Canis lupus familiaris: one gene and its partner. The protein of the gene in region 2 purifies or fractionates together with the protein of the main gene of each other region. This does not show direct contact. Links are inferred from orthologs where the notes say so. Each region holds a gene or a part of one and is shown on either strand. Other genes may lie near its edges.

What was found.
Region 1: the proteins of CCNF (region 2) and RRM2 purify together in Homo sapiens (affinity purification with western blotting; 5 studies listed by BioGRID and IntAct, with this or other methods). This does not show direct contact. The link is inferred for Canis lupus familiaris from reciprocal best matches to the Homo sapiens genes CCNF and RRM2.

The regions. Positions count from the first base shown.
Region 1 is NC_049238.1:7,115,205-7,117,945, forward strand, and holds part of RRM2 (ribonucleoside-diphosphate reductase subunit M2), read left to right. Parts: intron 1-1,134; coding exon 1,135-1,229; intron 1,230-1,353; coding exon 1,354-1,487; intron 1,488-2,375; coding exon 2,376-2,480; intron 2,481-2,566; coding exon 2,567-2,680; intron 2,681-2,741. UniProt on the Homo sapiens protein: Provides the precursors necessary for DNA synthesis. Catalyzes the biosynthesis of deoxyribonucleotides from the corresponding ribonucleotides. Inhibits Wnt signaling.
Region 2 is NC_049227.1:39,028,959-39,032,773, forward strand, and holds part of CCNF (cyclin-F), read right to left. Parts: intron 3,536-3,815; coding exon 3,468-3,535; intron 2,448-3,467; coding exon 2,194-2,447; intron 1,857-2,193; coding exon 1,803-1,856; intron 1,421-1,802; exon of another isoform or gene 1,153-1,420; coding exon 1,048-1,152; exon of another isoform or gene 730-1,047; coding exon 652-729; exon of another isoform or gene 1-651. UniProt on the Homo sapiens protein: Substrate recognition component of a SCF (SKP1-CUL1-F-box protein) E3 ubiquitin-protein ligase complex which mediates the ubiquitination and subsequent proteasomal degradation of target proteins.

The DNA of each region.
Region 1 (2,741 bases), on a different chromosome or scaffold from region 2:
AGTTTAGGCACAGGACTGTGTGAGGAGATGGGTTTGCATTATGGGATCACAGAGGAGAAATCAAGGTAGCTTGAGGCCAGTTTTACATTTTCCAGATTGGAGAGGAGGAGAAAGTTAGAAATGGCCGTGTGAGTGGTCTAGATACCAAGGTCAACTTCAGGATGAGAGTCCTGCGTGGTACAGAAGTGATAGAGCTGTAAAGTAGGCTCTTGTGGCTTATCTGGAATAATGTGAAGGGGAAAAATGAGTGGTGGCTTGGAAGGGCTGGCAGGCTTCGGGAGACAAGTTTATAGACCGAAATGAGGAAGGATAAACGTAGGCCTGACTGAGATAAATAAACAGAATGGGCAGTAGGATCAGGAGGGTCTGGTGGTTCAAAAGCTAGGGAGAGGCAGACCCTGGTCTCAGGATGTCGACATGGAAAGAGAATGAAGAGAGCAATGTGGTTGCTCTAATGACCTTGGGTTCAGAAGACAAGGTCACCTGATAAAGGGACAGGCTGGGGAATCTAGACTCCCAAGCTGGGCACAGAAGGCGGAAGAGGATAATAAGGAAGAACTAGGCAAGTCGGGGGGACAGTTGATTTACTTTCCTGATCTGGGATCATCAGTGTAAGTATAGACTTATAAGTAGGAAGCAAGCTCAGATTATTCGGTTTATTGGCTTTAATTATTTTATTATATCCATATGGCATTTGGGGCCTATATAATTAGCCCGATATGATTAGTGAAGATGGTGCTACCTAGGAAGATAATGGTCAGCGTAGCTTAAATAGTCTTAGCAGTTAAGATTTTATGGCTTCTCAAGTTTAAAGATAGGGCCTGTGAACTTTGTCATGACCTGGACTTGATATAATAAAAGCCGATAAATGTTCTTGGTGTAATGGACTAAGACTTTTAAGGTTAGTAGATCTCAGGGCTCCTTGTGAAGTAAAGAATACCTATTTTGGTATTAACAGGAGCCAAATGAATGTTGGGATTTTAAAAAGAACACTTGGTGGGGGGTGGGAAGCAAAAAAGGTAATGAGAAAACATTTCAGTTTTGAGTCTCAATTTCGCCTTGGTCCCAGTGTTCTCTACATGTTTGTGGTAGGAAGTCTTTGCTGTAATTGCTGATATTCTGGGTGTCTCCTAGGGAATTTCTCTTCAACGCCATTGAGACGATGCCTTGTGTAAAGAAGAAGGCAGATTGGGCCTTGCGTTGGATTGGGGACAAAGAAGCTACCTATGGTAAGGCCACTTGGCCCCACGGATGCCTGAGTTTCATCCTCTAAGTGACATCATGGTTTGTTGGCCCTTCCTGTGCACATGTACGGTTGCTCACCGGAACCATGTCGGTGTTAACTCTTCACAGGAGAACGGGTTGTGGCCTTTGCTGCCGTGGAAGGAATCTTCTTTTCGGGTTCTTTTGCGTCAATATTCTGGCTCAAGAAACGGGGCCTGATGCCTGGCCTCACGTTTTCCAATGAACTTATTAGCAGAGATGAGGTGAGTCTAATTCAGGCTAATGTGCACCCCAAACATCTACAACTCTTTGGTTCACTGAAGGGAACTCGATAAAATGTTGCCTCATGTCCACATTGAACATGAATTCAGCCATATCTGGGCTTGGTAGAACATGAAATATATTGAAAGTACTTGTATTCTCAATACTCGTCCAGTCTCCTGTATGAGCCTACTGTGCTCCAAAGTTGGTCGATAAGCATCCTAAAGGAAGTGAGAATCCTTCTGGTCCAGTGTCCTGTCTTTGACTGCACTTGGATTAAGCTGGAGGGAAAGGCGAAGATGTCTAGATGCTCTCATTTGATTCTAGTTGGCAAAGCCAGAGCCACAGACCCTGTCATGCTTGGAGCCCAGTGACCAATAAGTTGATCTTGCTTTGTAAGTTCTTCCTTCTGATCTAGGAACATCAGGGTTACTTGGCACTAAGACTTGTAGACTCCATTCACTGGCAGTTGCATCACTGATTTCCTGACCATTAGGTTGTAAATCTCAAAACCAGCCAAGTCAATCTCAAAGCAGCCTAGTCACTGCTGGGAATAGTGGCAAAATGAGAGCTCACGGATGTAGAAAAAAATGCTTTGAGCTGAAGTCCTACCCTGTCCTGTGCTCCTGTATGGGGCAGCAGGGAACAGACTTGGCCTGCTGTCATTGCCCTGGGTAGCAGTGTTGAGGGCCTTGGGATAAGGCTGAACCTGCCGTGACCTACACAGAGCAGATGGCAGTTGAAATCCTTTTCCCTTTGACAGTTTTAAGTGCTTTTAGTATGTTCGCATGAGACATATGAGGAGAATGCAGAAAAGGGTAAAGCCATTTCCTGTTTCACGTTAACGATAGACGTCTGGTTTTATAGTGATCTTAAACCTTTTCTTCTAGGGTTTACACTGTGACTTTGCCTGCCTGATGTTCAAACACCTGGTCCACAAACCTTCAGAGCAGAGGGTGAAGGAAATAATTATCAATGCCGTTAGGATAGAACAGGTGGGTGATACAGGAGGGTCTCTTGTGCTCACCAGAAGAGGTCTTTATGCTTCTGTTCTATTGAGAAGCTGCGTTTCGATCCCTAGGAGTTCCTCACGGAGGCTTTGCCAGTGAAGCTCATTGGGATGAATTGCACGTTAATGAAGCAGTATATTGAATTCGTGGCAGACCGACTTATGCTGGAGCTCGGTTTTAGCAAGGTACAGTATTGTTTATAGCCTTCTGGTTCTCCTGAAACTGCTGTTCTGTATTTAAATTTTC
Region 2 (3,815 bases):
GTTCGCAGTTCTGTCTCTCTAAGCTCGCTGACTGCCCTGGACATAAACGTTACTGTGTTGTGACAGTCAGGCTGGGCCACCTCCCGCTCTGTGGTTTCTTCCCTCACTTTTAGGGCAGATAACTCTCAAACACGCCCTTGGTGGGGCGACAAGAGTGAGTTTGCACCTGCCTGGCAAAGAGGGGCTGCCTTTGTCTTTTTTTTTTTTTTTTTTTTGCCTTTGTCTTAAACAATGATTCTTTATAGCTGCCACAGGACAGCGTCCAGAGACCACTGCCAGCAAATGCCTTGTGCCCTGGTTCTAACGCTGGGTGACCTGCTGAGCCGGTCAAATGACGAGAGCCAGGAAATGTTCCACACACCCATGTGCTCCCAGGTGCCCCAGCTACCGGCACCCTCAGGGAGCAACAGGAGGGCTAACAGCAATGTGGTGCATGGGCAGCCGGGCTGGCTTTGGGCAGGGGGCCTGGAGGCGCCAGGGTAAAGGGCAGAGATGAAGCACCCCCAGGCCGCCCTCCCTGCACACCCCACAGCTACACTCCTGTAAGCTCTGGCGCCAGCCCTGAGCCACTGCTACTGCCTATGAGTGGGATCTTGCCACCATGGTCCCCACGGGAAGAGGTAGAAGGAGAAAGGCCAGCTCCTGCCTTACCTGTGCTTCCCAGCAGCCTTTGGCAGCGTAGTCTCGGAGTTTCCGGAAGCTGTAGAGGCATCGCCCAGGATCTGACATCTGTCAGTGCAAGAGAGTCATCATGCTTTTATATAGTTGTGTCTCTGGAAAAACTCAGAACCAACCCATCAATTCTTAAATGTTCCTCCCAACATCCCCAGGGGGTCCACAGCTCAGCCTTCTTCCCAGCCCCTTACATCCAAATGACGGAGGTTGCTGGGGGCAGCCATTGGGAACGGCTCCTGCACAGAGGCTCCTGGGGCTCCAGGAGCAGCACAAGGGTCTCCCATATGGACGGAACCTTGCCAAAGGGCCCATTTGGAGATGGCACCTCTGGCCAACACAAATCCTCTTCTCCCCAGACCCCGGCCCACTCACGTCCGTCCTCCTGTCTCGTTCCCAGAGGAGGTATGAGCTGACCAGACATCCCTGATTAGCAGACTCTTCAAACAGGTCCTGGGCCTGCTGCTTCCGCTCTTCATCCTACAACAGACCCCAGACAGTGGCTTCTTTCACCCCGCTTTCTGCAGAACACCAGACTCTACTGGCCACTACCGTCTCTCCTCGGACCTCTTGGAATCACATTCGTGGGCTTTTCTCCTGACAGAGTTAACTAAGTCGGGAGTGGAGGGATGCCTGGGTGGTTCAGTGGCTAAGCGTCTGCCTTCAGCCCAGGGGGTGATCCTGGAGTCCCAGGATGGAGTCGCACATTGGGTTCCCTGCATGGAGCCTGCTTCTCCCTCTGCCTGTGTCTCTGCCTCTCTATGTCTCTCATGAATAAATAAAATCTTTGGGGGGGGTGCAATAAATAAATCAAGAGTGGAAACGACTTAAGATGTGTGCTTTGACCAGCACCAGGACAGCGAGCTTACGAGCTCTGCCCTCACAGGCTCCTTTCCTCCCGCATGAGGTTTGTGTCTGGCTGGGCCCTCCACACTGGCCCTCCCAGGTGGGATGTGGAGGTTTCCTCACAGGTGGAGCCTGCCTTTACACCCTGCACAACAGGAGGGGTACTGCTTCCCACTTACTCCCTGGTCCATGGTGTCTGGAATGGCCAGAAAGGTAGGTAGCACAGAAACAGAGTCCTGTGTTGCATGGTGGCAGGCCCACTGGACCCAGGGCGATGGACTCACCTCGAAGAGACTGAGCACTCTCCCCAAGCAGTGTAGCAGAGATGCTCTGTGAGTCTAGACGATAAGGGGGGTAGGGAGTGTGATCATCAGCAGAAAGGAAGCTTCCAGCCCATCCCCCTCCCCCATCCATGTGTTCTTGAGGCCCCCACCTGGCCCCAACCCCATACCGAGAGGCGCTTCCTGATTCCAGGCTTCCAGGAGCCTGGGTCCTGTGTTCTCAGCTGTCAAGGGTTTTCAGCCCAGCCCCTCTTATGATTCCCTGGGGAGCCCCAGCTCTGAGCCTTCCCCACCTGCTGACTCATCTCCAGATGCCCCCACACCCACACTCTTGACTTTCTGCACCTCCACGTTCCTCAAGCGCCTGGCCTTACACGGTCCAGTGTCTCCTCACCCTATGGGGCTCGGACCGTCCAGCATGCCAGCCTCCCGTGTGTCCCTCGCCAGGGCTTGCTCCCTGTAGCTGACACTCTGCCCTGAGGCTCTCGTGAACCACGGCCTTGCAGCAGCTTCCAGACACCGACCACGGAGGGCGGATGAAGAGCCAGATGAAGGGTGTGGCACCCACATTGAGTCGTTCAGCGAGGCTGAAGAAGCGAGAGGCTTTCAGGCCATTCACCTCTGCACGGGCTTCATCAGACACAGACACTGTGGAGAACGTAAGCCTGAGTTGGGTCCAAAGGACAGGTGCACAAAATTCCCCACAGGCTTTTGTGAAAGTCTACAACCTCACACAGTAAGAAGTTGTTAGCGTTTAATGAGAGCAGAGCCCTTCAAGACAGGGCTCCTCCCCCTTCTTTCCTACCTTGTGAATCACATGTCCCTGCCAGGTCCTCCCAGCAGCCTAAGCTGGGAAGGTCTGGGAAGGTGCCCCCCTGGAGGCGGCACACACGCCCCCACCCCCCTCCTGCTGGGAGCTATAGCCTGAACCCCTGCTAGTGGGTACAGTGTTTCTTTCTGGGCCAATGTTCCAGATGTGAATGGTGGTGATGGCTGCACAGCTCTGAACATACTAAAAACTGCCTGACTGTACACTCTGGACCGCTGAGCCGCAGGGCTCGTGAATTCTGTCTAGGAACCACTGTGTGACAGAGAAGCCCACTCTCTGGAGCCTGCAGGAGGACTGCTCACCATCTCTACTGGTCCCCACAATCCTGCCAACCAGATAGGAGCAGGAGCTTTCTCAGCAAGACACCAGATCTTTTAGAAACAGAAAACTAGCAGCCATCCCCAGTCTTTGTGCTTTTGGGGAGCTGGGACTGGACACACGCGGCCTGGTTCTGTGTGCTAAGCAAAGAGGCTGGTGCCGGGAGAGAAGGCCATGCAGCTTCTTTCAGGGACCACCTGGTCCTTGGGGGTGAAGGAGCTCAGGCACCAGGCTGGCTCTGACCTGCCTTCCCCTGGAGCCGTGGCTACTGCGTCATTAATACCCTGTAGAATCAGGCACCCTTTGACTGCTGTCCCAGTCAGCACAGATGAACTGTGGCCAAGGAAGGAGAGGGCCCAGCACCTACACACAACCTGCGGGGTCCAGTGGACAAGGGGAGAGGCATATGGCCGGACAAGCAAGAATAAGGACTGAATGGCTCCCACTGGGAAGGGCTCATGCCTGTTCTACGTGCTCAGCACCCAGTGGGGCAAGGCCAGCCCAGCCCCGCAAGGACTTACGGCCTTCATTGTAGAGGTAGGCTATGCCCAGCTTCACGGCAGCTTCAAAATTTCCCTTTTCCGCAGCCCTAGACAGTTAAAAACACAGCGTCACCTGATGTTGTCTGACACAGCACTTGAAGCTAAAACACTTGTTTTTTAACTGAGGATTTTTTAAATGTAACACAGTCATATACCCCTCAACCGTGACACCTGAACCTTAATGATGTGCCAAGCCAAAGAAGTCAGCCACAAAAGGTCACACACATGTGGTATGATTCCACTTACATGAAATGTCCACAAGAGGTAAATCCACACACAGGAGGGCAGATTTAGGGGTTGCCAGGGGCTGGGAAAATTGCAGGGAAA